Linked DNA regions of Arabidopsis thaliana. The protein of the gene in region 1 purifies or fractionates together with the protein of each later gene. This does not show direct contact. Each region holds a gene or a part of one and is shown in the gene's direction. Other genes may lie near its edges. The genes, in order: AT3G07300, AT5G19485, AT2G44070 and ATRPAC42.

Region 1 (8,693 bases):
ATTAGGCTGTGGACCACCCAAGTGATAGCAAACAATGTACACGCCGCTATGATAGGAGCTTCCACTTATCCTAATAATTAAAGTATTCAATACCACGATTCAGAAGTCATCCAAAGTCAAAACCTCGCACGAGTCATGGGCTCATGGCTTACCCGCTCCGCGGTTGTACTTTGTATATGTTTCAAAAGCAGGAAAACATTTTTTAAAGCAATTGTAAAATAACAAAACAAACATAAATTATTTGATAGCCGGAAACTATATATGTATTTGTTACGGCCAGAAGTTGATTATAACCAAAGTAGTTAAATCTTGAATCTGCTTTTTCATTCTAACTTTTTTTTTTACCACACATCAATCCAAAATACTGCCGATGAAATTTGTAATTAGTATCAACTTCTGTCTAAAATACAAATTTGAACTTCTAATTTAGATCCAAGCGATGACAACTACATTTCAAGTATCATTGTAGTTTGATAGACTAGTGTTACACTAAACCTAATAAATATACCAATCAACACACAATGAACCCTTGTTCAGGAGTAATAAGGGTTCAAATTTGCAACTCTTTTGTCAAGGGAAGGAAATAAATAATCAAATTGTTAGCCGATGCATGATTGACGAAAAGTAGGGGTGTTTTTTACAAATAAGCTAAGATGGCTTTAGAGGACCACCAATCGGTCCAATCCTTTAACACTCAGAGCCTGAGGCAGAGAACACGATGGGTCATCTTATATTTGTTTATAAAATTGCCAATAATTGAGATAAGGTATCATGATTCATCAATCTAGCTAGACTGTGTGTACCATACATAAACTATAACCCATGTGTATAAAATATACAAATATCTGTGAACATCAACCACCTAACTATAATGAATATGAAAATCATACGACTAAACTAATTTACGTAAACTATACTACTTTGAAACAATTATTCATCAAATTCTCTTATACTATTAATTGTGGTTTACTAAACTTCCAAGTTTTATGTTTTACTAATCCTGTAAAATTAGACTTTAGCCGAGTCCGTTTGAATCTAGGATTTTTGAAATTTCCAGGTGGCTCAAAGCTAAAGAAAATGTGAATGAGAAATGATTTCAACGAAAATAAGATTTACATAATAGCCAATGACATATATGCACTTGTCAAGTTGGAGTTAAACAATAACCACACACCGAATTGAGGAGCCCATTGGAAAAAACAGAAGCAAATATATTTTTATGTAAAAATAGAAACGGAATAATATAGTAACAAAAAGATACTCTCTTCAACCTTATCCATTCTTCGCCACTTCTCCCACTAATCCGCTAAATCATTCTTCTTCATCTCTCTCTCATTCACAATTCCCGAAATTCTCTCAAATCACAGATCCTTTTAGGGTTTTTCCACTGTTTCTAGGTTTTTTTTATTGCTCAAATCTGATCAATGGATAGTTGTCTCTCTAATCAAACGGCGCTTCAGTTTCTCCCGTCGCGTTCCAGGAGACAGAGCGGCGATGGAGGCGGTGGTTTTGTTATTCCGGCGAAGAGGAAGATCCAGTATAGTTCGATGGTTGTGGTTGCGGCGGCGGGACAGAGTCGGTGTGAGCCTGGAAGCAGTCTAAACGCGCCGCTTGAGCCACGATCGGCGCAGGGGAGGTTTCTGAGAAGCGTGTTGCTAAACAAACGGCAGCTATTTCATTACGCCGCCGCTGATGAGCTAAAGCAACTGGCTGATGATAGGGAAGCTGCTTTAGCTCGTATGTCTCTCAGCTCTGGTTCCGATGAGGCTTCTCTCCACAGGTCCGTGAAACCTTTCCTTATCTAATCTCTCACAATTCAAAGATCCGTAAACAGCTGTAGAATTATAAACATACAAAGAAATATGTGTAAATCATTACTTACATACTCTTATTTAATCGACCACAAATCAGTATTTTATTAGTATTTATCACATAAGCTTGTAAAGTTTGATTATAAGTTGTTTGATGGTGTTTATCAGTTTATGATGATTTGAGAATCACACTAATGATATGGTTGAATTGAAACAAGAGAATTCTGTAGTTATGATCTTCAGGTGCTTTCTCATACTCTGCCTTGTGAAGCAAGTTTTGTTTTAGTGTTTGATAAGGGCTGGTTTTGCTTTTTTACATTTCATTGTTGCTTAGTTCGTTAAATAGTTTCCGTATATTTTAGTTTCTTGCCTGTGTTAAACTCTCTGACTTGCTCAGGCCATTTTATGCTCTGTTTGTGAACATTTTCTCAACTATCTTCTGCTCTTTTACGAACACTAACACTCTGATTCCATGGTTGGCAGAAGGATAGCTGAACTCAAGGAACGCTACTGTAAAACTGCAGTCCAAGACATAATGTACATGTTAATCTTTTACAAATACTCCGAGATAAGAGTCCCTCTTGTTCCAAAGCTATCCAGATGCATCTATAATGGAAGACTCGAGATCTGGCCTTCAAAAGACTGGGAGTTAGAGTCAATTTACAGCTGCGATACCCTTGAGATCATCAAAGAACACGTTAGCGCAGTCATCGGATTACGGGTCAACTCATGTGTGACTGACAATTGGGCAACAACGCAGATACAGAAACTGCATCTCAGGAAAGTATATGCTGCCTCGATCTTGTACGGTTACTTCTTGAAATCAGCTTCCCTAAGGCACCAGCTTGAGTGTTCCTTATCAGATATTCATGGAAGCGGATATCTGAAAAGTCCCATCTTTGGATGCTCATTCACAACGGGCACTGCACAGATCTCCAACAAGCAGCAGCTGAGACATTACATCTCAGACTTTGATCCCGAGACATTGCAGAGATGCGCAAAACCAAGGACAGAGGAGGCAAGGAATCTGATAGAGAAGCAAAGTTTGGCTCTTTTTGGCACGGAAGAGAGTGATGAGACCATAGTGACATCGTTTTCGAGTCTGAAGCGGTTGGTTCTCGAGGCTGTGGCGTTTGGGACATTCCTGTGGGACACGGAATTGTATGTAGATGGTGCATATAAGCTGAAGGAGAATGGGAATGCAGAAGAACAAGAAGGAAAGAAAAGCATATGATGAACAAGTCTGGTTAGAAGAAAAGCTTCATGATCTTCTGGTAGTGTATATATAGAGAAATGTTTCTGCCGAATCTCTCAGGCAGTTGTTCAGTTCAATGTATAGATCTTGCTTAGAAATATTTTGATTTCTGAATAAGAATGTGGTGTGGTTATAAGGAATAAGAGATACTGTAGTTGGGTTCAATTTTATGTTATGTGTTAAGTTTCCTTGTTCAATTTGATCTTTCTCCTTTTGTCAAAAGACTCAAAACCTCAAAAACAAAACTAAAATTTGGGTCCCAAAGAAGCTATGCAAAGGGAAGGAGATACTTTGATAATGCTTGTATTTTTGGGCTTATTTTAGGCCCAAATAGCACCTTATTTCGGCCCAAAAGTTAGACCTACCAAAAAACCTTCAATTGTCACTAGAGCGAATGAATGTAAAAATCTGGTCTCCTATTATCAATTCCGTTTCTCTCTCGCCGGAAGATTTTTGCTACTTCATCTCCTTATCGCCCCACCACCGTCACATATTCACTGGTAAGCATATCCATTTTGCTTCCTCATCTTCCACATTAGGCTTCTCCCATTTTCTTCTTCCTCCCGCCGCGAATCGCGCGTGATTAGGGTTTATGAAATCTAACGCCTCAGGTTTCGCATTTTCTCAAGTTTCTCGTTAATTTCGGTTAAAGAAGATGCCAGACGTTCAATCAACGGTGGTGGAATTTGTTAACAAGCTCAGAAAGCGGTAAATTCTTTCTTTCTGGCTTAATTTCGTAAAACCCTTTGTGAATATAGTTGCTGATTGGATCATTATCTCATACAGTAAGATTGAGGGCTCACAGGCTACAGCCAAATACACCGTAGAGCTACTTAGGTCAGTAATTTCGCATCAGCGGGTGCCTCACGCTAACCAAGCTGCCGCTCTTATCGATGCTGTGAAAGCTGTTGGTGAGCAATTGATCGCTGCTAATCCTGTTGGTATGTCTTCTTAAACTCTCTTTTTGCTTCTTCTCTCTTAGTCTGTGAAAGGAATTGATATATACGGATATGATTTTTGTAGAGCTTGCGGTGGGAAATGTAGTTAGACGGGTTTTGCATATTATAAGGGAGGAAGATCTTTCTCTAACTACAGCAGCTATGGGTGGTTTGGACTTGTTGGATGCAAGTGATGATGATGATGTAGACAATTGCAAAGGAATTGGGTTTCCTGCAATGTCTGCAGCAGTTGTTGCAGCTGCAGCTAGGAGTACATTACGCCCTCCATCTTTGCAAACGCTTCTCGAGGGCACTCCTGAATCTGCAACTGTTCCATACACATCTTCATCTGGTGCTGATTCCGAAAGCAAAAGTAAATGTACCTTTTTCATGCCTTTGGCTCTCCTTTGCACATACTGTTTTTTTTTCAGTAGGTCCTTATGCCGTCTGTTTTACTGATGTCTTTGATAAACCATTGAAGATAAGTGTTATCGCTGGAATTTAATAATGTTGGCTCATATTCTCTTTTACAAGCTGATATATAAGGTTTTCTTTTTAGCTATCGTAGACAGATTTAGGTCTCAGTGGTTTTGGTTTTGCTTTAGGGCATTTAGGCTTGGGAGAGTTTAAGCAAACCCTATTTTACTGGTTCCTGTAGTTTTGTTGCTGGAATTACCTGTGAGTTTGTGTTGTGTTGCTGAGTTATAGAGATAAATGAGAATCATATATGTTCTTATCAGTCTACTTTTTTAGGTGGTTCGTCTCACTTTATTGGGATTATATCATAAATGAACCATAGATCAAAATTTTATATGGCAGCAAGAATATTTTACTGTTTTTGGTTGATATTAATGGTCTAATATACCCTTTTGTTTAGCTGCCGATAAAAGTTCGTTAACTCGGAAGCTGAAGCATGATGTTATCGAAGGAGTGAATCAACTTATTCAAGAGATTGCTGGTTGTCATGAGCAGATCGCTGAACAAGCTATAGAGCATATACATCAAAAGTACTTTTCTTTTCTATAGCATTATTTATCTTTAACATGTTATACATGGAGAACTAAAATGGTCGTTTCTCAGTGTCTTTTCGTGATGATCACTTTTGTATTGCCTAAATTCTATTTTTTCAGTGAGGTGATCCTAACCCTGGGTAGCTCAAGAACAGTGCTTGAGTTTCTGTGTGCTGCAAAGGAGAAAAAAAGATCTTTTCGTGTATTTGTTGCCGAAGGTGCTCCAAGGTTTGGTTTCTCCCTTTACTATATGTTTCATCATTACCATTGTTAGTGTTTTCTCTCAACATTTTTATATTCTCTCTGATTTGTCCATCTAACTCAGCTGTATCAAATTTTCTTCCATTTCTATTCTATTATATTAGATATCAGGGCCATCTATTAGCAAAAGAATTGGTAGCTAGAGGTTTGCAGACAACTGTGATCACCGACTCTGCAGTGTTTGCTATGATATCTCGAGTGAATATGGTACAATTCATTCCTACCCAACTTTATGTTTTCTTGTCCTTGTCTTCTAAATAATTTGCAATGATGTGAAAATGCACAGGTTATAATTGGAGCTCATGCAGTGATGGCTAATGGTGGAGTTATAGGGCCAGTTGGTGTCAACATGGCTGCTCTTGCAGCACAAAAGCACGCAGTCCCATTCGTGGTTCTTGCTGGTAGTCACAAGGTTGGTTTCGAGTTGTATTTAATTTCTCAAACTGTTTTTTGCTCTCAAAACTTGACTTAGGGTTTCCAATGTAATAACAGTTGTGTCCCCTCTATCCTCACAATCCGGAAGTATTACTAAATGAGCTGAGATCTCCATCTGAACTGTTGGATTTTGGTGAATTCTCTGATTGCCTGGATTTTGGAGCAGGTTCCGGGTCTCTTCAAGTTGTCAACCCAACATTCGATTATGTCCCACCAAACCTTGTTAGTCTCTTTATAACAGACACGTAAGTCTCCTATATATAATCTTTGCTATATTCTTAGGTTGGTCCATTTTCATGGCATTACTTTTTTGGATAAAGGGTTGGTGATAGCGTTACCTTTTTGGTTACAGGGGAGGACACAATCCATCCTACATGTACCGTCTTATTGCGGACTACTACTCTGCTGATGATTTGGTGATGTAGCGATAAAGGACTAGTTTTCGGTCACTTGGTGGGAACTATACAACATTCAGTCGGATAGTCGGTCATTCACAATTGAAGAATATATGTACATTGCACAAAAACAGTTGCTCAAGGATTGTGAATGAAAAAGAGAAACATCTTAGTGTCTGAAATTGTCAGGCCAAGTTTATTTTTGCCGTGTCTTGGGTAATTCCTTTAGCTCAGTCTCAATGGTGTCTATTGTTACTTGATAGTATACTTCTCTTTCAACACAACGTTTTTCTTTGGTTGGCTTTTGTATTTGCTAATACGAGAATTACCACTGGAGGTGGACAGGACATCTTATTTTAACTAATTAAAGTTTTGGGTGCAATTTTACTTGATAAGTGTGAGGCGATGCATTGGTTCGGTACGGTTCAATTTCAATTACCTCATAACCGGATCACTATATCTTCGCCGTGAAAATATTCAGACAGACGACAACACCTGCATAAACACCATTGTTCAAAATAGCCAGAGAGATAAAAGTAAAACCCTAAACCCCACTAGTTAAAGTTAACATTTTTATTGTTTCTCTCCGGCTCCTTTCAATCTGTGTACTGTGTATGCTGCTGATACATATCAGAAGTACTCGAAAGATCTTAGCTTTGGGGCGTCATGTTTTTCCTTCTAATGCCTTCTTCTCCGTCTCTTCTCGACCTTCTCTGTCTTCCTCGGACGAAGTGGCGGCTCATGATGTCGCATCTTTGCTAAAAACCCCCAATTGGGAGAAGAACAGTTCTCTTAAATCTCTAGTCTCTCACATGAATCCAAATGTCGCTTCACAGGTCATTTCGCTTCAACGCAGTGACAACGATATTTGCGTTCGCTTTTTCATGTGGGTCTGCAAGCATTCGTCGTATTGTTTCGACCCAACTCAGAAAAATCAGCTTTTGAAACTGATTGTTTCTTCCGGATTGTATCGAGTTGCGCATGCTGTTATTGTTGCGTTGATCAAGGAATGTAGTAGATGCGAGAAAGAGATGTTGAAACTAATGTATTGTTTTGATGAGCTGAGAGAAGTTTTTGGGTTCCGGTTAAATTACCCTTGTTACAGCTCTCTTTTGATGTCCTTAGCTAAACTTGATTTAGGATTTTTGGCTTACGTGACTTATAGAAGAATGGAAGCTGACGGATTTGTTGTTGGTATGATTGATTACAGAACCATTGTCAATGCTCTGTGTAAGAATGGATACACGGAAGCCGCTGAGATGTTCATGTCTAAGATTCTTAAAATTGGGTTTGTGTTAGATTCCCATATAGGCACTTCTTTGTTACTGGGTTTTTGCCGTGGATTGAATCTCAGAGATGCACTCAAGGTGTTTGATGTAATGTCTAAGGAGGTAACTTGTGCACCGAACTCTGTTAGTTACTCCATTTTGATTCACGGGTTGTGTGAAGTAGGGAGACTTGAAGAAGCATTTGGCCTAAAAGATCAAATGGGTGAGAAAGGTTGCCAACCAAGCACACGTACATATACTGTGCTTATTAAAGCCTTGTGCGATAGAGGTTTGATTGATAAAGCTTTTAACTTGTTTGATGAGATGATTCCTAGAGGGTGTAAACCAAACGTCCACACTTACACTGTTTTGATTGATGGGTTGTGTAGAGACGGAAAGATTGAAGAGGCTAATGGGGTTTGTCGAAAGATGGTTAAAGACAGGATATTTCCTAGTGTAATAACTTACAATGCGTTGATAAATGGCTACTGCAAAGATGGACGGGTTGTTCCCGCTTTTGAGCTTCTTACTGTAATGGAGAAGAGGGCTTGCAAACCAAATGTAAGAACTTTTAACGAGCTTATGGAAGGGTTGTGTAGAGTCGGGAAACCGTACAAGGCTGTGCACCTTTTGAAGAGAATGCTGGACAATGGCCTGTCACCTGACATTGTGAGCTATAATGTTTTGATCGATGGGCTTTGTAGAGAAGGCCATATGAATACGGCTTACAAGCTACTTAGCTCGATGAACTGCTTTGACATTGAGCCTGATTGTCTTACATTCACCGCTATAATAAATGCTTTCTGCAAACAAGGGAAGGCTGACGTTGCTAGCGCGTTTTTAGGTTTGATGCTTAGAAAAGGAATAAGCCTAGATGAAGTAACAGGTACAACTCTTATCGATGGTGTCTGTAAAGTCGGTAAAACCCGTGACGCATTGTTTATCCTGGAGACATTGGTTAAAATGAGAATTTTGACAACTCCTCACTCCCTGAATGTGATTCTTGATATGCTCAGTAAAGGTTGTAAAGTGAAGGAGGAATTAGCAATGCTTGGGAAAATCAATAAGCTTGGTTTAGTTCCTTCTGTGGTGACATACACAACATTGGTTGATGGGTTGATTCGATCAGGTGATATTACTGGTTCCTTCAGGATCCTAGAACTGATGAAGTTAAGTGGGTGTTTGCCGAATGTCTATCCATACACAATCATCATAAATGGTCTTTGTCAATTTGGAAGAGTCGAGGAAGCAGAGAAGCTTCTTTCTGCTATGCAAGATTCAGGAGTTTCACCAAACCATGTCACTTATACCGTTATGGTG
Region 2 (8,334 bases), on another chromosome or scaffold:
CCTGAAGCCAACATGTATTACTAATGACCAATCCGTTACTTGCAAGAAACATAAAACAGAGATAAGAAGAATCATCCATCATCACCATGAAGGCCCAACAGAGAATGCAGGCGACTGCAGAGGCTAGAAAACCTGATTCTTGTGTCACAGCTGGAATCGCAAGTATCCCTGCACCTACCTAATCAAGAAAAGGATAAAAGTTTAGCAGAAAACAAACTTGATTCCTTGCATAGTTTCAACAAGAATATGGACAGAGTTATGAGAAAGTAGACACACTTACGGTAGTGCCAGCAACCAAGAAAATTGCACTGGACAAACTTCCTGAAAATTTCTAAAACTTAAAAACCAAAAATTTCTATCCAAATTTGGGTATTCACATGCAAAATGGTAACAGTCTTTGTACCGGATTCTCGCTTCAATGTTGATTGATTCAGGTTAGAGAAGAGCCTCTCAAATACGACAATCTTTTCTTCCTCATCTTCTTCTTCTTCTTCTGTTGTTACTTGTGTTTCTCTGCGTTCATCAGACACTCTCTGAGGCAAACACTTGAAGAATCTTGGGGTCTGAGTTCTTATGAATGGGTTTGATTTGAAACCAAAACAAGATGAGGAAATATGAGATCTTGGTAGATAAAAAGGGAGAGGTCCATTGAAACTAATGGGTTTCGTTGGAACTGAAAAGGTGGGTAATCTAAGAAGACAAGTGTAGCTTAGAGACACAGACATGTCTGTGTTTGTCTGATATCAGACACTAGCTATGAAAAGCCTATGATCAGTCTTCTGGTTTGTTTTCTGCGACTTCCGACAGTCAAAAGATTGTGTTAGAGAGAGCTTAGCTTCCAGATTAACATGTGTGGCTGTCTTATTTTTGAAGTTTTATTTCCCAATTAAATTTAAAATCTATGCATTTTATGCTTCTATTTTGCTTTTAGAAAATACTATTTGCATCAATGATACAAAAGTTGTATGCAAGTAAAAGAATAGCAATGCAAACATAAAGTATAATTTACAATTTACTCTATAAAAATAATTTTTATTTATTTTGAGTTTATGGTTTCTTAAGATATCATGTGATAAATCAAATTAAATGTTACATAATACATGCTGTCAAAATTAAATAATTGTTACATAAAACTTGTTAAATGAAAAGCAAAATAAAATATAAGATCTCATTATTAAATTAAAAAAGAGTGGGAGAAAAAAGGTCCAATTGCGTATGATTTGGGTCCGACAAGGACGGGTCAGAAAACAGAGACCAATTTCTAACTAGAAAAAAACAGATCCAAAGGAATTTATTTTTTTTCCTTTTCTTGTCGTGTTTGATGGAATCAATATATATATTTGTTAATTTGATTTTCTCTTGTTATTTATTCCAGAGAGAACGGAAGCAAGCAACACAAATTTCAAAATTAGGGTTTTTATCTTCTTCCCCTTGACTTTGGAAGCTGCTATTCCTCTGTAAAACAATAGCATGAAGAAGAAGCTCCAGACACGTTTTCCAGCGGTATGAAACATTACTTTTCACTGTTTTATAGTTTGTTATGTTCTTCTTCTTATGGAGATAACCATGAACTCTGTTTTGTGAGTTGTGAGAGTAGTTAGGTTCAACTTTTGCTATGATTTCAGGTTTACTTCTTCAGGGTTCCATGGTCCTTGTCTTCATTAGGTTTTTAAATTTATCTTTGTGAATGTATCTTTGGACTTGGAGGGCTCTTTTGTTCATGGCTAGATATAAATAAACTGCAGAGATATCTTGTTTAGGGCTAATCAAAGATGTTGATATCTACATAAGAAATTTCTTAGTGTCTGAGTCTGATTTTGTATGTGTTGATATGTTCAAAATTTGTTTCAGACAAGGATTAAGAAGATTATGCAAACTGATGAGGAAGTTGGCAAAATAGCAATGGCAGTCCCTCTTCTTGTTTGTAAGTGATGTGATGTTTTTGATTTTCTTACTCAAACGTTGTTCATATGTTAGCTTGTGTCACATGTAGTTGATCTGTTCTGGTTTTGAATTTAACTTTTCAGCTAAAGCTTTGGAGCTGTTTTTACAAGACTTGTGTAATCACACGTATGATGTAACTCTAAGCCGAGGTGCTAAAACTGTCAACGCCTTTCATTTGTAAGTGTGAATCTCATCTTTGGATTTTGCTTATATAAACCAATTGTTTTCTTGCTTCTTCAATACTTTTCTATTCTTTTTCCAGGAAGCAGTGTGTGCAAGCGACTAATGTCTTTGATTTTCTAAGAGACACTGTCGCTAAAGTTCCTGATTTGGGTGGCTCAGACACTGAAGACCAATCAGCTACCAAAAGAAGGTTAGGCCCGCTTCTTCTATAGTTCTATTCTATGTCAGCAATCAATCTACCTAATTTTGATATCGGTATCGTGTCTAACAACTTGTTTGTTCGACTTTTCAGGAAAGTTGTTGATGGAAGTAGTTGCAACGATGAAGATATGATAAAGACCACTCAAATGGTAACTAGCCAGACTTATTTTGCCAATAGACAATTGTATATTACTTAACGCATATGTTTCGCCTTGTTACAGCATGAGGTCAAACATACTAGCTGTGGCAGAGGAAGGCGAGGTAGAGGCCGCGGACGAAGTAGTGGAAGAACAGGAAGTGGGCTGTCTCTAAAATTTGAAGAAGATTTAGAAGACGGTTCTCCCGAAAGCAGCAGGACCCCGTCTCCCGAAAACGGGAGCCTTTCTCACGACGATACATCTTGGAAGAAAGTTGCATCACACAACAATCATCATAGTAGTAACTCAGAGGTAAAAGTAAGGAACTTCGATCTTAATGTTGAATTAGATGAGAATGGAGACAATGCTACATGGCTGGAAACACAGCTAGAGAGAAGTCCAGATTACCCGTTGGAGATTAACGAAATGAAAATAGATCCTGATGATCAACAACAGGCTAGTGCTAGTGACGAGGAAGATTATGATGAAGAAAGCATAGACCAAGAGTGAAAGAGTTTCAGTTTAGGTGAAATGACTTAAAACTAAAGGTAGGAGAAAGAAAACAACAACTTAGGAATTGACACACTTATATATTATAGAAGCAGTGTGTATGTAGGAGATTGCTCTCATTCTCTTTAATGTAATTTCGTTTTTTTCATTCATCTCTTCTAATTTGATAGCAAGCTTTACACAAACTATAAAATCATATACATAAAGTATGGTTTAATCTTTGTTAATGTTTAATTTTAATTAAAATATTTAAGTGAGATAGATAACCCAAGATTAATGGAACGACCCGTCGGATCCAAAAGAAAGAAACAAGCGGGTTAAATTGATATCGTCTTCGTCTACCGTTTCTCAAAATCAAAACCCCAGAAAGCAGAAACCTCTCTTCTTCGTCTTCTCTCGTCAATTCAGCTGCGACAATGGATTTCCAGGTCGTGATTCTAGCCGGCGGATTCTCTAGTTATCTTGTTCCCTTAGTCGCCAAGGTCCGTCTCTCTCTTTCACTCTCATCATCAGCATAACAGTTTCGACGAATTGCTAATTTGTTGTTGTTGTTCAGGAAGTTCCTAAGGCGTTGCTTCCCGTAGCGAATCGTCCGGTGTTGTCTTACGTTCTGGATCTTCTCGAGAGTAGTAATCTCAAGGATCTGATCGTCGTACGCCTTTTATCTTTTCAATACAATTACTGATTTCCTTTTGCGAGTTTCTAGGTTGAATGTTTTCAATAGAGCTCAGATTTTTTCGTTTCGCATTGGTGGAACAGGTTGTTGAAGGGGAAGATGCTGCTTTGAAAGTTGGTGGATGGATTTCTTCTGCTTGTGTTGATCGTTTACATGTTGAGGTATTTACTCATCTATGGCATCTGAATTCTGTAAAACTCTATGCATGATTGAAAGAAACTAGTGTCATATTCGTTATTAATGTTCTGCTGGATATTTTACTTTAGGTTGCTGCTGTTGCTGAGAATGTTGGAACTGCTGGGGCACTCAGGGCAATTGCACACCACTTAACTGCCAAAGACATTTTGGTTAGCTTTTCAATAAAGACGTCTCGTAGCTTTTGCTTTGTGCAACTTTTTGAGCTTCTAGTTAACTGGTAATTTGCTTTGACGTAGATCGTAAGTGGAGACATTGTTTCTGATATTCCTCCTGGTGCTGTTGCCGCCACTCATAGAAGGCATGATGCAGCAGTGACTGTTATGCTTTGTGCTCAACCTGTCAGTGGGCCATCAGAATCAGGAGGTTCTGGTGGGAAAGATAAAACCAAAAAACCTGCTTGCGATGATATCATAGGGCTTGATTCCTTGAAACAGTTCTTGTTATACATAGCCAAAGGTCCTACTTTTAATTTTTCTTTATGTTTCTTAGAGGTAACAAAATGCTTGAACTTGTTGTTGGTTTACCTCCTGAAATTGTGTTAGGTACTGAGATTAAGAAAGATACCCGAGTAAAAAAGAGCATTCTCTGTGCGGCTGGCAAGGTAATGTTCTTATTAAGTTTTTGAAATTACCTACAAATGCATCTTTTTATGATTCATATATTACAAATTCTTAGTACAGTTTCTAATTATCTTGTCATTTTCGATTTAGATGGAAATTCGATCAGATCTGATGGATTCTCATATATATGCCTTCAAGAGGTTGGTCAGATCTGCTTTCCTGCTATCAAAGTAGTTTTATCTGTCGATACTCAATATGTTCTTTTGTCTTACAGAGCAGTTCTGCAGGAAGTTTTGGATCAAAAACCTGCTTTTAGGAGCCTAAAACAGGATGTACTACCGTATCTTGTTCGTACACAGCTGGTTAGTCGGATACGGTCCTTGCAAATGACCATTTTTTTTTTATTACCATTTTGATTCCTTATTTGTGCGGTTTCCCCTTGAGTATCAGAGATCAGATGTCTTCTCTGACCAAAGTAATGTAGAAGAAAATGGGAATGGAAATGGAAAAAATAATATGCAGAACAACGAGGTGGTCTTGTCTCAAATTCTCTCCAACGCATCCATGCCAAGCTTTCATCAAGTCTATGAATCAGGTCTGGGTACCCGGAAAACCCATAAATGCTGTGTTTATATAGCGGATGAAAGTAAGTATTTCGTCCGCTTGAATAGCATTCAAGCCTTCATGGACGTAAACAGAGATGTAAGTTGTTTACACATGGGATTCCTTCTCCAGTATTTTTTTCTCAGTTGACTTATGAAGCTCCGCAATTGTTCAAACTTGTGCAGGTTATTGGTGAATCAAACCACCTATCTGGATACTCCTTTTCTGCTCATCACAACATTGTCCACCCATCAGCTGAGCTTGGATCGAAAACCACAGTACGTAACTCTACATGTGTAGATATTGAGCATTTGTTCTGTGAGTTGTGATCGTGAATAACAATTTTTGGGTTGCAGGTTGGACCTCATTGTATGCTTGGAGAAGGCTCTCAAGTCGGTGATAAATGCAGTGTCAAAAGATCTGTAATTGGGAGACATTGCCGGATAGGCTCCAATGTGAAGGTAATAATTAGCTTTTTACTCAAGCCAGCCAAAGAAAGGTGGTGTACATCTCGAAAAGACACTCAACTGCTTGTATATGTGGGTGCAGATTGTTAATTCAGTTGTGATGGACCATGCCACAATTGGAGACGGATGTTCAATACAAGGCTCAGTCATTTGCAGCAACGCACAGCTTCAAGAGCGTGTTACTCTAAGAGACTGCCAAGTACGTTACCCCCTTCAGTTTTCATAATACAGTGTCCCCTACGTATCAATGCTTTTACAGATTCCATAATCAAAACATCAATTGGTTTTATAGGTGGAAGCAGGGTATGTTGTTTGTGCCGGGAGTGAGCACAAAGGAGAGACCTTTGCTAGAAAATGAAAAGGAAGGATAAGCAAATGAGGTCACATCTTGGAACGCTTTTTTAAAATGAAAAGCAGCATTACTTAGTCATTCGTTTGGTAGGAGAGAAGAGTGTGAAGGATTGGAAAGTTTCCCACTAAGGGTTTTGTTGATTAAGAGTTTGAGATTTTCCGTTAGTATCTTTTACTGATAGAGTTTGATCTTTTGCTATTCATTACATATACATGAAGTCTTGAAACACTTTGTCAGCCACTGACCCTTCTCTCTGTTCCGTTGGTTATATTACATATGTCTTTTTTTGTTCTTCTCATTATTTACTCTTTTGTTCGAGATAAAACACTTTCCTGAAAGATCTAAATTTTGTTTTTGGTATTTCCATAGAGACGAATACACCCAAAAAGTCACATGCCTTCAGATTCGATAAATTTCAGAGTAAATGATTTCGAATGTATGAAACCTTTCTGTTTAAATAGTCACGAGAATAGATAAACTTCATAGCTTGTTTAAAGTGTAACAAAATGTACAAGTTGTGATTCTTCTTGGCGAACTTTTCGTTGCTTAACCCCTCCTAACTTCTCCCACAATGCAATTTTTATTTAGAGATTAAACCTGCAAAACCAAATCCAAATCATTTTATGTTATGTTGAGACAAATCTACACCATATAGAAACATTTCTAATTATTTGAGACTCCAAAATAAAGTTAGTGCACTCTCGGTCGCTAGAGTTCCAGGTTATCTTCTTATAAGCCTTAGACAATAATTATTTCTTCATGTTTAAAACAACCATAGCTTTGTTGACTCAATCATATTCATCATGTACAGTACCGTTGGTTATGACAGACGCAGCCCCATATGAGAAACGTGCGTTATCTAAAGATGAGAAGATGACTCTAGTGACCGAGTTACCTAACAAAGTTAGCTGCTTCTAAGCCTCTCCATGACACCTTGGGTGTGCAATACAAAAATGAAAGTGTGCACGGCTTCAGCCTCCAACCTACATCGCTCCCATCTCATCAAGCTTTGAGCTCTTATGCTGCAAAAAAGTTAATTTTAGGGCCGACAAAAATAAAATTTGCAGAGCAACACCAATGTGCGAGTAACCAGAAACTTCTAAATTCAGCTTCACTAAAAAGAAGGAGATGCCTCCATTGCCATTAGTATATTACCTTACTCTTTTTGTGCCTCTGAACGTCATCAGCATCTTCAGTCCCATTGTTCTTCCTTTTCTGAAAGTAAAGTGATAGCGTATACCACGTCAATTCTATCGAATTTAAGAATCCAAAATATACATATATAGACGGCCTAGGTACCAACAAGAGCAGACAGTTTTATAACCTTATCATGGTGTCCACTTTTTTCCTTCTTTTTGTCTCGATCCTTGTCTTTATCCTTATCTTTGATCCTATCTTTATGCTTGTGCTTGTGCTTCTTATGTTCCCTATCTTTCTCCTTCTTGTCTTTATGTTTTCTATGTTTCCTATCCTTATCTTTTGACTCACTTTTTGATTTTGATACAGTGGTAGGAGCTCCCTTCTCTGCCTGAAATAAGAACAGGAGATCTCATATTCTCAAACCTAGCTCAACTATCATCACAAGATACTTGGAAGTAATTCAACTTATCATGGTTAGTAAAAGATCTAGATGTTACAGGAAGTTAAAATCTAAACAGAGAGAGCAATATTCTTACTGGAGGCAATTCAACAGGAGCTGTATCATTAAGCTCAAAAGCCTCCTTAAGTTCATCAAGAACAAAAGGTTGGATGCGAGCATTCGTATCTCGGCTACTAAGTGATGCATTAGGAATAAGCTGATCTAATTGCATTCCTTCTCCTTTTCTAATCTCTGTGTCTCCAACCAAATTATGAAGATAATGAGCATCTGACAGTGACTCTGGAAGTGATCTCTTGCAAAAGAATTCATGGTGTGGCAACAACTTGTATTGTGTTATAAGATCTAGTGCACCACCCAATTCTCTAGGACCTGCACTTAGAAACCCAGAAGCTCATTGACCCTCAAATCCCAAAATAATAAAACTTGACAAAAATCAAAGCTTGGAAACCAAATTTACCTCCAAACTTAACGCTCTCTGATTCCATATTTTTTTGTTGTTGTTGATTAAACTGCAATTATTGGAATTTGAAAACCAAACAAGCCAAAGCTCAATAAGCTCAAGATTTGACGAAAAGCGAAAACAAAGCTGAAGCAAAGATCAATCACCGCCATACATGACTTCACGAGGCAGATCTCATCGCAACCCAGAGATATAAACCCTAATCTGGAAAACGGATTGCTCTTGGTCGTGAATTTCCCGCGGGAATATCGAGGAACGTTCGAGAAGGAAGTAACTAGGGTTTGAGAATGGATTAGGAGTTTCCTCAAACAATGGCGTTATAAAATCGCGATTTCTTTTTCTTCTTCTTCTGTTTTTTTTTCGTCCAAAATTTTGTTATTTATACGGGTTACCGCGTGGGGTTCACGCGCTTCATAGTGCGTATGATCAACTTTACAGATTTC
Region 3 (7,086 bases), on another chromosome or scaffold:
TGATATCTTCCCGATCTTAAAAGATATTCAAATTATCTTGTGGATATGTACTTGATTCGATATCTTTGATTTTTTGTATTCATGATCTTATGGTTAGGATCGATGCCACCAGTTCCTATGTAAACAAATAGATAATATGTAGGTAAATAACATTGCTTATACCAATCTAAATGTCAGTTAAGAATATATTGATACATATGTTTATAATGCCTTACAGATTTATAGAAAACCCATATTTGATTATAGTGATATATATAAGAACGTATACAGAGAGCGCAATCTCTTATCCAAATCAGAAAAAGATTTCAATTCGTAGCCAAAACCAAGAAAGATATAAGATATAGGTGAACTATAGGAGGGTGTTTTTTTTACTCGTAATTCCTTGGATTCTATTGGTTAATCCATCATCCATAGTGTGTGTATATTTAATTTTTAGAAAATTAGAAAGAAAAAAATTGTAGAAAGGGAAAGCTATATAGAAATGGCAACCCATGCATGATTGCCTTGAACATCGCAAACCCTCCCTTAGATTGCATGTCTAGTGGAACATAGTGGACCTGCAACAATATTCAACAAAAAATTCATATTATATACATTGCATAATGCATAGTAGGACATAATAAGATGAATTATTATGCTCAATAACAAGTTTATATGATATGCCCACAGTTTCATCACATATACTTGAGTTTATTAAAACGAATGATTCTATTTCTCTATTAAGATTAGCCTTTATTAATTGTTAGTGGTATGAGATATATTGAAGAAAATAAGTATAAGCAAAAAAAATGTTGATAGAAGAATTAAATAAGCAATAATTTCAAAAGGTATGTAATGTGGATGAAACGGCACATGTCGTTGTCACGTGGCTCGTTCCCATCGATTCAATGCATATCTCGACCAACTTGACTTATTAATATTCCTCGTACAACTCTCCAATCTAAAGCCACCTTTCTTCTACGTTATACATTTTCTTTTTCTGTTTTCTTTTAAATACTTTCTCCTCACAAATTATTGTTTTCTATTATCTAAAATCAATACCGTTAGGAAATGGTGTCTTTATAACACTTTAGAAAAATATAATTAATCATTTTCTAATGTATTATTTTTGTAATTGAGTAATTTGATTTAAAAATATAAACTAATATAATAATATTGGTATTTAATCATTTCAAATATTCTTAATTATATTCTTTTTGAATACACGCATATTGTTCTAAACTATTAATTTCTTACAAAAATTCTATATTATTTATTGTGTCTACAAACAAAAGAGTCGTCTAATCATTTTTGGTTTCATTTTTTTTTTGCTAGAAATCAAAAACAAATTCCTCATTTTTTTTGAGGTAAGCTAATGTTATTTTCTAATAACAATCATAAGTAATACCCGTGGTTTAAAGTTTACACGGTATTAATTAGGTACTACAGCCATGGTGGACGGTGGATCTTCATCACCTAATCCGTACAATTAAGAGACAATTAATTACATTAAATCATGTGCATTAGTTGATTTAGGAACTAATTGATAAATCAACTCTAAAGACTAAAGTAGTGCGATAGATAAAGCTAAAGTATATATTTTCTTCAGTATAAAGATAGGAATATATGGGGACATATACTTTTGTCGATTTTGTATCCAGCTTTGCATCAGTGAAGTCTGAGCGAAGATATGACCAGACTTAAAAAGCAACTAAAAAGATGCATAACAGAAACACAAAAATAAAATTCATGCATCTGCTAGTCATAGAGGTTATTGGATTCATTGCACGTATCTTAATGATTCGTTTTCGTTTCACCTCCCTTGCTACAAAAGATTTGAAAGAGAAAATGTTAAATTCTTTAGGTCAGAATCAATTAAGATAATTTCATTTTCTTCTTGTGTTTTGTACGTCACTTGTTTCTTTTTTCGTTGGTTATGTACCAAAACATGAAAAGTTCAAAAATTGTTAATTAGAAGATTAAAGAGAAGAGTAAGAATAAAGATGAAATGAGGAATTGATATGGAGGAGTAGGACCCAAGTTTGCAAGGATGGTGGCTGGCTGGCTGCTCTGTTGTTTGTTACATCTCATTCTCAATCTTAATTCCAATTCTATGTGCTTCTTTCACTATTTCCCTATAGAATACCATTCTTGTTTTTTTTTTTCAATTTTCAAAAACCACTATAAGGAACTTTTTCAATAGTTGCTTGTTTGTTTAGACCAAGGAAGATGTCAAATAGATTTCTTCACTTTTCAAGTGGAAGCAAAATTATGCGGTCAAGTGTATTATACTAGTGTGTGTTTTTTTTTGGTTTAATACCGACTAATTTCTAACTCTAATCTATCAGTGAACGTCTTAAAACTAATATTGCTGAAGAATATATTGTTCTCTGCTACAGCCTACAGCATTCAAAGTTTCATCAAAAAGATAAAATGTATATATAACTAAAAGTTTTGGGTTAATAGATAATAGTCAAAGAAGACATTCGTGTTGAATGTTTCTTTTTTTTTTTTTTTTTTATCGTGGGGATTGATTCAATGCATTGTTCCAACCTTTTGACTCTTTCTCGTGTTTCCTTTTTTATTCGTTTTCTGAATTATACTTTTTAGACCCTTTCCTCGAATTTTTACTTGAGCCCTACTCTAGTAATACATAAGCATATATATAAAAATCTCTCAAATTTGATTAGGACAGTTTTAGTATATAAAAAAAGGAAAAAACGCATTGTTTAAAACGTGGTCATGACGAAAACGTTTGATTTCGATCGATGATATTTAAATAAAGGAAACACCTAACCATATTTATTCTTAACTGATCAAAGATCCTCCAATTTCACGAAGCCTAAAACTCTCAAAAACAGATTCAATAACGTCACCAAACCTTGAGGCTTTTTAAAGGAAGAAGCATTTGAGAAAATCGTAACTTCTTGACCCTATGCATTCTGCTGTGTACAAGGTATGGTTAGTGCTTGTAATATACAATTATATAATCTCTTTGTTTTAATAAGTGGTTGCTCATTAAGATGAATGTTACTTGTCTAGTGAATGAGTATGACGTTGTTGTGGTTATCAGGTTGGTCTTCATTATCTTTCTTGGGATATTTCTGGTGGCAATGCCAGATGTATTGCGATGCTCCAAGCATTCCAAGAGGTTGTTAAAGATTACTCGACGCCGCCTGAGAATACCCTTAATAGAGACATGACTGCTCAAATAAGTAGCTACGTCTCTTTCCTCATAGAATGCCGTCCGCTTTCGATTAGCATGGGAAACGCAATCCGATTTGTGAAAAACAGGATTGCAAAGCTGCCTATAACACTTTCTGAATCTGAAGCAAAAGCTTCTCTTCACTCAGATATTGAACGTTTCATTAACGAGAAAATCATAGGTGCAGATACAGTGATAGTCGAACATGCTGTCACTAAAATAAGAGACGGTGATGTCCTTCTGACCTACGGATCTTCCACTGTCATTGAGATGATATTAGTGCATGCACATGAACTCGGGAAAAAGTTTCGTGTCTTTGTGGTGGATTCTCGACCAAAGCTTCAAGGGAAGCTACTGCTTCGTAGATTGATCAAACGAGGCATTAACTGTACATACACTCATATAACTGCCATATCATATATCATGCACCAAGTCACCAAAGTGTTTTTGGGCGCCTCATCAGTTTTTTCTAACGGAACAGTTTACTCAAGGGTTGGCACTGCTTGTGTTGCAATGGTGGCTAATGCTTTCCGTGTTCCTGTGCTTGTTTGTTGCGAAGCCTATAAGTTCCATGAGAAGGTGCAGTTGGATTATTCAATATGCTCCAATGAGCTCGGTGATCCAAATGCTATTTCAAAAGTTCATGGAAGAGAAGACATAAACTACTTAAATGGCTTGACCAACAATGCAAAGCTGAAGTTTCTGAACTTGATGTAAGCTAGCTTGTGTTAATCGTACAAGTGAAACTATATATGTTCTGTTAATACTATTCTTCTCTGCCTGCCACTAAACCCGTTTGTGATTTTTTTTCTAATGATAGGTATGATGCTACACCTTCAGATTACATTTCCATGATAATCACAGATTATGGCATGGTAAGATTAATCATATCGGCTCTTAATTAAAAACATAGCATTATGGTGATCAAGTGATCTCATCCCTAAACATAACTCATGCAACACAGTTTCTCCACTCATTCAGAATCTCAAACCATTGAACACTGACCATGTTTTATATTTCAGGTACCTCCCACAAGTGTGCCTGTCATCGTAAGAGAATATCAGAAAGAACACTTGCTTCAAAGCTCAAAGATTGTTATTTAGATGCTCAAAATAGAAGTAAGAATAAAAATGAAATGATATGGAGGAGTAGGACCCAAGATTATAAGGCATGGTTGCTGTTCTGTTGTTTGTTACATCTAATTCTCATTCCTTATTCCAATTCTGTGGGCTTCTTTCACTATTTTCCCTATAGAATACCATTCTCGTTTTTTGTTTCAATTTTCAAAAACCACTATAAGGAACTTTTTCAATAGTTGGTTGTTTGTTTAGACCAAGGAAGATGTCAAATTGATTTCTTCACTTTTTTGATTAATGTTTTGGGGTAATTAATTAGTCAAAGAAGACATTTGTGCTGAATGTTTTTTTTTGCTGAATGTTTTTTTTTTATCGTGGGGATTGATTCAATGCATCATATTGTTCCAACCTTTTGACTCTTTCTCTTGTTTCCTTTTCTTTTCTTTTTAGACCCTTTTCTCTAGTATAAGCATATAAATCTCTCAAATTTGATTTCGACGATTTTAATATATATATAAAAAAAAGAAATTCGCATTGTTTTAAACGTTGTTATGATGAAAACGTTTGAATTCGATTTTTTTTTTTTAATAAAAGTAAACACGTAACCATATTTATTCTCAACTGATCAAAGATCTTCTAGTTTCATGAAGCCTAAAAAACTCTCAAAAAACAGATTCAATAACGTAACCAAATAACATTGGAGGCTTTTTAAAAGAAAGAAACGTTTGAAGAAAATCGAAACTTGTTCACCCATATCACATTTTGGCTGCTGCTTCTGCCAAACGCTTCTTCTTCTTCTTGACACTAGCTGATTTGTAACCGCCTTTACACGGTTTTCCCCACGGACTAACCGATGTCCTTCCTCTGCTTCCACTACTTTTGCTTTTTCCTTCACCTCCACCGTGTGGATGATCACACGGATTCATCGCCACTCCTCTAACTTTGGGCCTTATCCCTAACCACCTACTCTGTCCTGCTTTATATAGCTTCTTCGTTCCATGAGACGGGTTCGACACTGTGCCAATCGTAGCACGACATTTGGCATTGATCCACTTGGTGTCCCCTGACGGAAGCTTTATCAAGCATTTCCCTTTAGCAGGCTCCTTTAGGATCTTGGCGTTGGTTCCTGCAGCTCGGACCATCTTTGCGCCTTGCCCTGGGTTCATCTCGATGTTGTGGATGATTGTTCCGATACGCATCATACCTAGTGGCATGGAACTTCCTATCATTGAGTTGATGTCCATGTGGAGCATCTCTTCTTTCATTTGTGCTACCAATGATTTGTTCTGTGTATCAGCAAAACCTGCAAAACACCAACAGAGATAGAGGCTTTCTATCAAAAAATAAAACGCACACAAAACAGAAGATATGGATTTTGACAAAAAATAAAAAGCTTGATTGAAACTTTGGATCTCCAAATCCCTCAGGTTAAGTCACTTTTGAGATGTATATACTCCACACAGATCAATCTTAATTATAGACTAGACAGACTCAAGTCCCACAAAGTAGCTACATGCATCAATCAATGATACTCCACAGAGCTCAATCTTAATTATAGGAAAAGAATATAATCCAGCTAGCAAGAGACTTAGGAGAAGAATTAGATACAAATAGCACCATAGTTGCAGAGATCCCAGCTTAGGCCCTAGTTATAAACTTATTCTAGTTACATAGTATCTTAACTTGAAGTAGCATAGTTTTCAGCTCAATCTTTAATCCAAGACTAATTTATGAAGAAGAGCCGATGTGATACAAGCTCATTCTTTTATCATCTAACAAAAAGAAGCAACCGCACTTTCACACTAGCTCATCATCTAATCCAGAAGTAAGTAAGTTCGTTCATCCAGTTCCTAATCCATCTAGAAGAGGTTTGTAGCTTGATAAAACCCACAACATAGGAAAAAAAATCAACTTGACCACTTAAATAGAAGAGGCTAACATAACAATAGACGTTACTCAATGTTTTGTTGTTTGTAACAATACTCTGCCTAAGGAAAATGGCTTTAACTATTATTATAAAACTCACAGTGCAACCATGTTCCTACACCATTTCACAACCCATATATCACCTCTTCAACAAATTCATTCAAGGTTCAAAGCAAAGAGTGAGAAAACTTGAAAAGTCTGTCAAAAGCATACATCTAGAATAAAGAGTAATACCACCTACCTGTAGAGAAATTGCGAAATGCTGGACGAATAACGCTGTTGAATAAAGAAGACGAAGCAGAAGCTCGAGCTCTGCATAACGCCACAAGACCTGACATGGAGGGACTGCTGCTCTAAACAGTATAAAGGTAGGGTTTTTAAGCACTACAGCTCCAACAACCTATCCAAATAAACACAAATAATTAACAGTCTGGAACTGTACATATCCTTGAAATTAGGGCTTCTACGCACTACCCACATACCTAAATCGTCACGACCGATTTTTATTTAAAATTCCGAATCAGAAAACTGTACAATATCACTAAATCCGGTCATTTCTTGCAATGATAATTTGAGCTATCAATCTACTGGGTTAAGTAATGGCTTCGTATAATGATGTAGCATGAGATCGGGACAAACCTGCAGTATGCCAAAGTCCTCGAAGAAACCTTTGCAATTTGAGAGAGAGACTGATCGAGGAAGACGACTATGGGTGTGTGAGAGAGAGCCTAAATGCCTAATTGTTTTAATTAAAATCGAGAAGACAGGCCCAATTCATTAATACAAGCCCAATACACCAAACCCACTAGATAGGCCCAGCTCGTTCTATCAGTGTTTTCTACACCATGTGCAGGCGCGAGAAAGGAAGAACAGAGCACGTATGTAATAAACGTCTCCATT
Region 4 (8,157 bases), on another chromosome or scaffold:
TTCAATTTCCAATGTCCAATTTCGTACATTTTTATAGTTATGTAGATATACTAGCACTCCCTCATGTCTTGGCTATATTTATATTTGTTGACTGTTAAACAAATCTCTCTCACCTGTGTATTCTTTTATTTTAAGTTTCACTTTCTCAGTTTCTATCCTTCTAATCATCTTTTTCTATTTATAGAAATCTCAGCATTACTACAGTGGTTTAGGAGAGCATAGTAGCGGCGTCTTTGGGAGATTTCGTACAAGACACAATCGATCAGCTTCACAGGGAAGCCTAGATTGCAATATGATCGATCTCCGTACTTCACTGATAAAATTGGACGCAGAGGACACAGATCTTCGACTCTGTTTTAGAATTATATCTCCTCAAAAGACTTACACACTACAGGTACTAAATTTATTAGATATAGAAACGTGAAGGAGCAAATATAGCATCAAGAGGCCAACACAATTTATTTCTATATGCTACAGGCTGAAAATGGAGCTGATAGGATGGATTGGGTAAATAAGATCACAGCAGCTATAACAATACGTCTGAATTCTCATTTTCTGCAGCAGGTTTACTCAATATGAGTCTCATACTTTTCTTTTACCTTCAAATTGAAAATTTTGTGTTGTTATAGAATCTAATATCTTCTGCAGTCACCAGCAAGATACTTGGATAAAAAGAATACTAGTTCTGGTCCTGCCACTGAAAACCTCACCCTGAATCAAAAAGAAGATTATAATCAAAGACTAAATGTGGGGGATGACGTCCTTACAATACTCAGAGAAATTCCTGGAAATAACACTTGTGCAGAATGCAATGCACCTGACCCCGATTGGGCATCATTGAATCTTGGAGTTTTGATGTGCATTGAATGCTCTGGTGTTCACAGGAATCTCGGCGTTCATATATCCAAGGTAAATTTCTTCATTTTGGTACGATATTGCGTAGCTTCTTTCCATTTAGTTCGAGGTTGTATAAGCTCATTTGTTGTAAAGCTAACCATGTGCTATATATCTTTGCATCAACCAAAATTTGCAGAGCTCAATTTTTTAAGATGAAGTGTTTATATTTCTTGCTGAATTAAACATCTGTGTATGAAGCTTAGATATTTAGCTAATGTCAAAGAATGTCTGCAGGTGAGATCGCTCACATTGGATGTGAAAGTATGGGAGCCTACAATCTTGGACTTATTTCGGAACTTAGGCAACGGATACTGTAATTCAGTCTGGGAGGAGCTACTTCATCACCTTGACGATGACAGGTATAATTTCTCAAGGAAAATTAGATTGTTTATATAAGTAAAGACTGTCTCTATAACACAATCAAGAAATAACATTCCTTGAATCAAAATCATCTGTTCCTCTTTTACAAGTTTCTATTTTCCCAATTGTGTAAAATCATGAGATTGGTGATCTTTACTTTCCTATGATCCTATCTTCTGTTGAATATTTACAGTGAAAAGGGATCGACAGACACACTTGCATCAGTTTCGAAACCATCTTCAGAAGATTGGTTTACTCTGAAGGAGAAATATATTAACGGAAAGGTATGAGATTTAGTTCTTAAAGTTTTCGCATACATAGACCTCAGATTCATGTCACTTGACGCATCATCCAAATGAGCATATTCTTGTGAATAGAAAAGGCTTATGATACTAAAGCTGATAATGTTTATGCCTAGCTAGTACCTGGAGAAAGCACTAGTTGTCAAAGATGAAAGAGAAGCAAATTCTACTGCCTCAAGTAGAATATGGGAAGCGGTTCAAAGCAGGAACATAAGAGACATCTACCGACTCATTGTAAAAGCAGATGCAAATATCATCAATACCAAGTTCGATGATATTACTGACCTTGATGTATATCACCACCACCATGTTGATGCACCAGATGAAGTAAAGAAAAGGCACGATCCAAATGCGTGTCAGAGAATCAAGAATTCGAACGAAGCAAGAAACTGTCTTCAAGGCTGCTCATTGTTGCATGTGGCGTGTCAAAGCGGTGACCCAATCTTGCTTGAACTGCTGTTGCAGTTCGGGGCTGACATAAACATGAGAGATTACCACGGACGAACTCCATTACACCATTGCATCGCATCAGGGAACAACGCATTTGCAAAGGTTTTGCTGAGAAGGTAACACACTAACTAATAAATCTCATGAGGGGCACTTTGAGTAGATACTTAGTGTCTCTCTTCTTTGAATTTGACAGAGGTGCTCGTCCATCAATAGAGGATGGTGGAGGATTAAGTGTGTTGGAAAGGGCAATGGAGATGGGAGCCATAACCGATGAAGAGCTCTTCCTTCTATTAGCAGAGTGTCAGTAAATTACCAATATACCATTTGCTGATTGATTGCTACGCAAAGGAATGTAACTTGTAACTGTTGTAGTATTTGGTCATGACTTGCTCATCGCATTGATGCTCCAATATTTACCTAATTCCCGAAGGAGATAGAACTCTAGGAAATGTCAAGATTCCGACCTACTGTATTAGCCTTTGTAATGTTATACATAAGATGATCTCAAAGATTCTAAGCCTGCACCTCAAAGTTTTTTTTTCTTCTTCTGTATTTGATATCCGAGATACAAATATGTGTTTTGTAGCCGGAAACTTTATTATAGACAACATTCTCATTGCCCAACAAAAATTTGATGAAGTAAGTGTCGTGTTTTCTTCTATTATTTTGCTCTAAATTAAGTAGTGCTATTGCCACATTCTTAGATACTAACGTAGAAGAGTCCCATCGACATTTTTTTTTTGACCAATATTAATTAGAGTTCAAAAAAGCCTATCATTCACAGTAGATGCCAAAAACAAAAGGAGTCATTCCTAGAATTGTTGTTTACATATGTTTTTAGTTTATATTCTTAGCTTAACCAATATGCTGCGAATTGATTGCAGAAAAGTTTTTTTTTTTTTTTTAAATTAAACAATTCACCGAAAAAGAATAAATTCTTATTATTGTTTTTTGCTATAAAACAAAATCATGAGCAAAAGAAAGTATTCATCTTGTGGAATAAATTTTTATTTTTTAAAGTAATGGCTTTATTTTTAGTGTTAAACAGTATTCTTTTGAAATGTAAAAAAAGAAGAAGTATTCTTTTGAAATGAATTTTTTATTGTTTCTTTTGGTAATAATGCGTTTTAATTCGAACCGGAAAGAGTTAAGGGATTAAATAAAACCGGCGGCTTTTTCAAAACCCTTCACCGTTTGTTCTTCATCTCCTCGCCGCCGCCTCCTACTCTCTCTTTCTCTCTAAATTGCTCAATTCTCTCGGCCACAGGTAAGCTTCTTCGACTTCACTCTTTGACCCAATACTACTTTCCTCACCCCCTGTGGTTTCCTTTGTTAAACCCTTCAATTCTCTTTCTCAATTTGATAAACCCTAGTTCTGCTATAGACCTAGACAAGGATGGTGACTAAAGCAGAAAAACAATTCGCCAAAAATTTCAACATAGACGATCTCCCTGACGTCCCTGCCGGACTTCCTCCACATCTCAAAGCCCAGCAAACTCGTGTCGTCTCTAAAAACAACGCTCCTGCTCATGTAAGAACTATTCTCGTTCAAAGTTACAATCTTTTATGCTCTGTTTTGTTGGTTATAAGCTTATCTAATTACAAATTTTATAGCTTTTCTCAATGATCCCATGTGGGTTTGAGTTCTATCGTTGCTGTGTTCATGATACAGAGTAAAAGTTTTGTTTTTTCCTGTGAAAAGCTGTGAATTTACGAGTTTGGCTCTTAAGTGTTTTACCAGAATACACCTTTTGTTTTCAAATTCAAGATGATATTGAGTAGTGATTGTTTGAAATTTGAAGTCTTTAATCTTGTGTTTGTGTTTTCTGTAGACTGCGAGTGCCATTTACTCGGGTACCTATGTTTCTTCTACGGAAGAGGACGACAATGTGAAGCTAGGAAACTTCTATGATAACTTCAAAGTTGATGTGGTTAGTCTCACAAAGACAGATATGGAATTTGATATGATTGGTATTGATGCAGCGTTTGCCAATGCATTCCGAAGGATCCTTATAGCTGAGGTCTGTCAAGTTTTCATACAACCTCTGATGAATCCCTCATTGTTGTAATCTTTGGCTTAAAGTGCTTCTTTCTTTATTGCAGGTTCCTTCAATGGCTATTGAAAAAGTGTTGATAGCGTACAACACATCGGTTATTATAGACGAAGTTCTTGCTCACAGGATGGGTCTTATTCCAATTGCCGCAGATCCAAGACTTTTTGAATATTTATCCGGTAAGCATATATTTCAGTGGTATGTGATCCATCTACATATGATGATAATTCTTCTGATTAGCTTACTTCTTTATCTGTGTATGATAGAACATGATCAGGCGAATGAAAAGAACACCATTGTATTCAAACTCCATGTGAAATGTCCGAAAAATAGACCACGTCTTAAAGGTAATATATGTTCATTAGTTAGCATCAGAAGATTTCTTGTTTTATTATCAGCTCCATCTCTCATGAAAGATATCATTTCGTTTTCTTGTAGTTTTAACGAGTGATTTAAAATGGTTACCAAATGGAAGTGAGCTTCTGAGAGAATCGGAAAATAAAACCTCAAAGCCAAAAACTTACACTTCATTCAGTTGCAGCCAAGATTCATTACCTGAATTTGCTAATAATCCTATCACTCCATGCGACCTCGATATCTTGATAGCAAAACTCGCCCCTGGTCAGGTAGTGTTTCTGTACATTCTTTTTATATACACCCAAGCAGACCATACTTGCAATGAGAGATGAAACATGTGCATCTTCTTTTATCTCTTTTTTCCCAGGAAATCGAGCTCGAAGCTCATGCGGTTAAGGGCATTGGTAAAACACATGCAAAGTGGTCTCCAGTAGGGACTGCTTGGTATAGAATGCATCCTGAGGTGAGAAGTATATACATCAATCTATCATATGCTTTATGGGAAACAGCTCTTTGTTTTGTCTTTCCTCATCCCAATATATATGTTTCGTAATGCTTTTGTTTATACTATCTTAGGTGGTTCTACGTGGGGAAGTTGAGGATGAACTTGCTGAACGACTTGTAAACGTCTGCCCACAGAATGTTTTCGACATTGAAGACATGGGAAAAGGTGAAGTATAAAATCTTATGCAAGCTGATGAACTTGGCTGCATGACTTACTTAAATTTGATTTCATACTGACTTGTGGAAAACAGGTAAGAAAAGGGCAACAGTAGCGCAGCCACGTAAGTGCACATTGTGTAAGGAATGCGTAAGAGACGATGATTTGGTAGACCATGTGGATCTTGGCAGTGTTAAGAACCATTTTATATGTAAGAAGAGAAAAATAAAACCCATTCCTTTTACTCTGCTACTCATGATCTGAAAGATATCGTAATTGAGTTTCTTGTCGTCTTTTTTCTCAGTTAACATTGAGTCCACCGGATCACTGCCTCCAGAGGTTCTCTTCACTGAAGCTGTGAAGATATTGGAAGCTAAATGTGAAGCTATAACCGACTTTTGAGTTCTGGTTTAGTTCAATTTTGAATTGTCTGTCTATCAATGTTTCTCCTCCTATTGATAAATTACCAACAAACAACATTGACATATTTATTTATACGGTTGTTGTTCAATTTGGATTTTCATTAGCCTTCTGAGTTCTGATTCATAACAAAATTCCTAGCTGAACCAATTTTGGAAATCTGCTTCGGTTTAATTTGGTTTTACTATTCTACCACTAGAACACTGACGCCATTCCTTACATTGTGCCAATCAAGGTGTGTGTTGGTAATAGTAGTTTTTGGTTTCATTGAACACTTAAAATAGCGTCAGTGGTAGAATAGATCCCTGCCACATTAGATTATACAAAATGTTCTCATTAAATATGAACTATGAGAGTTTATGTATAAATAACTGAAGAAGTAACATTTAAACAAGTAGCACCAGTGGTCTAGTGGTAGAATAGTACTCTGCCACGGTACAGACCCGGGTTCGATTCCCGGCTGGTGCAATAGAGCTGTGATGAAATCGGTTTCTGTAAAGGTTGGGTCCTTTGCATTTCTCCAGTTTATCTGGTGATATGGCCTCTTAACTGAGCTCTTTCTTTTTCTATTTTTTCTTTACCTTTTTAAGTTTTCTAATTAGAAGACATCAGTACATAAACAGTTGATTATGCTAATAGTAAGACTGATTATGATAAGGGAATATAAACAAAGTTCGACAATGTGGTTGTGAATTTTATAACGAACATGTTTTACAATATATCACAAGACTCACATGTTTTATTGGTTATTAGTGGATCTTTACAACATAACCACAAATAGGGGTGCTGAGTTTTTGAAAGAGTTTAGAAGTTTTGACCAAACAATTTTAAGTTCTTCGGATTCAATTACCAAATGTCAAAATACTCGTCTAACTATGATTTACAAGTAAATACCACTATTACAAGAAGTTTTTTTTTTTTTTTTTTTTTTTTTTTTTTTTTAACAAGAAGTTTAAGCTATGCATGGTAACATATTAATTTATTAGTATATAAAAAAAAATAATTCCAGGTTACAAAATAAAACAAAAGTATCTTACAATAATTAAATTTTGACGGTATGACGATATACAATATCACATCAATAATAATAAAAAAATTCATAGTTTATAGAAAATGGTTTAGACATATCATATCATACATATATTCTTAACCCGAATCCGGATGTTGTTCACGACGATAACGCGTAGCAATTTCACAACCACGATGGTAAAGGTTGACTGGAAATTTGACACATTCTTTGGGGGCTTTTACTGCCGCAAGCTGGAATTCTGTCTTTTATCATATCTTTATAGTTTATATATTTGCTTCCTTCTCCTAATCCGCTGAACAATGATAATATAATCAATTACTGAAACAAAGAAAAGACGGGTAAGACTCTTTTTATGACCAGCCATTGTTAAAAAAAACAATGTTTTTGAATCTTTTTGATCTTTTTCTTTGACACTATATTTTGTAAATTGAATTGGTAATTATTAGTTTGTGTATCTTTGAATTATAACAAGAGAAAGTATTTCTAAATACAGAAGACCAGTGCATAATGTGTGTGCAAGAGTTTAGTGGTTATTTTAATTCTTCCTTTCCCCACACCATTCGTCCATAACTCCGTATTCTTCTTCATTGTTCTAAAGAGAAAACAAGAAACGTTTAACGGTTTAAGCACTTTAAACGAGTACATTGATAATAAAGCTTGCATGATTCTCTTACACAACATACACATACTTACTTACTACTTTCTTACACACTTACACACACAAGCATGCTTTTAAACACATAACTAACTCTAGACTCTTGCAAGCCACTCTACTACTTACATATTCTTGCATACTACTCTCCTTAAGATAGAACCATAGTTGGGCTTAACCAAGTAGCCCAACGTCTCCTTAAGACAAAACAGTAAGCCCGATCTCCTTTGTTGACTTGTGTCTTCCTCCTCTTAATCGTTGACTCCTCTCTTCACGTCTCCAACGTGTCTTCGTCTTTGCTTCTGCTCTGTTCTTCTTTTGCTTTGCTTCTCATCTTCATCACACTGATTCATCTTTTCTTGTTGCAGGTTTGAGCACAGGCTCAAACGCTAACAGTTACTTTGTTTGTTGAATTCATAGTTTACTAGTCCATGTAGCTTAGTGTGTTGGATCAATACATGATCATATCAATATTTAAAACGTTAAGGTTTTTGTTAACGTGAAGGCTTTGTTTTTGTTCGTCCTCAAGGTTGTAATCAGATTTGCTTCTTTGTTCTCCTCATTAAGAATTTCATGCTTAGATACTGTAACTGGTTTCCTTAGATTTCATCGCAGGTTTTTGTAGTTCAGACATAGATCTATTGCCATAAGGCTTACTTGATTGATTGTCTGTTTAATTTACTTTATAGTTTGTTTACAAATCGTTGGCCTTTCACTCTATCTATCTAAAAGATCACTAATTTTAAATATCTCTCAAACTTTGTTGCAGAGGCTATGTTACAACCAGGAGGCACTCCCACCAAGATTGTCTGTTTGACTCAAGTGGTTACAGCTGATGACCTTAGAGACGATGCAGAATATGCAGACATAATGGAGGACATGAGCCAAGAAGGTGGTAAATTCGGTAAGCAATTCGTTTTTTTTTTTACTATTGTATGTTCTGACATTATACCATTAGCACATAGCATATACTC

Evidence for each region.
Region 2: the proteins of AT3G07300 (region 1) and AT5G19485 fractionate together in Arabidopsis thaliana (co-fractionation; one large-scale study listed by BioGRID). This does not show direct contact.
Region 3: the proteins of AT3G07300 (region 1) and AT2G44070 fractionate together in Arabidopsis thaliana (co-fractionation; one large-scale study listed by BioGRID). This does not show direct contact.
Region 4: the proteins of AT3G07300 (region 1) and ATRPAC42 fractionate together in Arabidopsis thaliana (co-fractionation; one large-scale study listed by BioGRID). This does not show direct contact.

What each region holds. Positions count from the first base shown.
Region 1 is NC_003074.8:2,322,409-2,331,101, reverse strand, and holds AT3G07300 (NagB/RpiA/CoA transferase-like superfamily protein), read left to right. Parts: upstream 1-3,442; 5' UTR 3,443-3,566; intron 3,567-3,677; exon of another isoform or gene 3,678-3,695; 5' UTR 3,696-3,721; coding exon 3,722-3,774; intron 3,775-3,852; coding exon 3,853-4,007; intron 4,008-4,089; coding exon 4,090-4,383; intron 4,384-4,881; coding exon 4,882-5,011; intron 5,012-5,134; coding exon 5,135-5,242; intron 5,243-5,379; coding exon 5,380-5,482; intron 5,483-5,561; coding exon 5,562-5,687; intron 5,688-5,767; coding exon 5,768-5,955; intron 5,956-6,062; coding exon 6,063-6,135; 3' UTR 6,136-6,485; downstream 6,486-8,693. Other genes in the region: AT3G07310 (phosphoserine aminotransferase, putative (DUF760)), read left to right, coding at 1,425-1,780, 2,295-3,045; AT3G07290 (Pentatricopeptide repeat (PPR) superfamily protein), read left to right, coding at 6,720-8,693.
Region 2 is NC_003076.8:6,571,410-6,579,743, reverse strand, and holds AT5G19485 (transferases/nucleotidyltransferase), read left to right. Parts: upstream 1-3,209; 5' UTR 3,210-3,391; coding exon 3,392-3,457; intron 3,458-3,531; coding exon 3,532-3,627; intron 3,628-3,734; coding exon 3,735-3,812; intron 3,813-3,917; coding exon 3,918-3,998; intron 3,999-4,085; coding exon 4,086-4,305; intron 4,306-4,391; coding exon 4,392-4,450; intron 4,451-4,559; coding exon 4,560-4,609; intron 4,610-4,683; coding exon 4,684-4,771; intron 4,772-4,859; coding exon 4,860-5,111; intron 5,112-5,197; coding exon 5,198-5,290; intron 5,291-5,368; coding exon 5,369-5,473; intron 5,474-5,561; coding exon 5,562-5,678; intron 5,679-5,771; coding exon 5,772-5,837; 3' UTR 5,838-6,152; downstream 6,153-8,334. Other genes in the region: AT5G19500 (Tryptophan/tyrosine permease), read right to left, coding at 1-1, 86-178, 281-321, 404-725; AT5G19490 (Histone superfamily protein), read left to right, coding at 1,471-1,503, 1,852-1,924, 2,028-2,121, 2,207-2,317, 2,420-2,477, 2,550-2,975; AT5G19480 (mediator of RNA polymerase II transcription subunit), read right to left, coding at 6,815-6,853, 6,987-7,046, 7,156-7,359, 7,508-7,800, 7,889-7,916.
Region 3 is NC_003071.7:18,228,298-18,235,383, reverse strand, and holds AT2G44070 (NagB/RpiA/CoA transferase-like superfamily protein), read left to right. Parts: upstream 1-2,753; 5' UTR 2,754-2,914; coding exon 2,915-2,935; intron 2,936-3,052; coding exon 3,053-3,897; intron 3,898-3,976; exon of another isoform or gene 3,977-3,994; intron 3,995-4,004; coding exon 4,005-4,059; intron 4,060-4,206; coding exon 4,207-4,287; 3' UTR 4,288-4,519; downstream 4,520-7,086. Other genes in the region: AT2G44065 (Ribosomal protein L2 family), read right to left, coding at 5,016-5,563, 6,428-6,524.
Region 4 is NC_003070.9:22,395,404-22,403,560, reverse strand, and holds ATRPAC42 (DNA-directed RNA polymerase family protein), read left to right. Parts: upstream 1-3,147; 5' UTR 3,148-3,276; exon of another isoform or gene 3,277-3,393; 5' UTR 3,394-3,405; coding exon 3,406-3,540; intron 3,541-3,841; coding exon 3,842-4,030; intron 4,031-4,112; coding exon 4,113-4,242; intron 4,243-4,329; coding exon 4,330-4,410; intron 4,411-4,501; coding exon 4,502-4,689; intron 4,690-4,787; coding exon 4,788-4,883; coding exon of another isoform or gene 4,884-4,973; exon of another isoform or gene 4,974-4,996; coding exon 4,997-5,090; intron 5,091-5,175; coding exon 5,176-5,292; intron 5,293-5,385; coding exon 5,386-5,483; 3' UTR 5,484-5,648; downstream 5,649-8,157. Other genes in the region: AGD2 (ARF-GAP domain 2), read left to right, coding at 185-394, 478-564, 649-909, 1,132-1,256, 1,451-1,541, 1,680-2,125, 2,203-2,317; AT1G60830 (RNA-binding (RRM/RBD/RNP motifs) family protein), read left to right, coding at 7,958-8,087.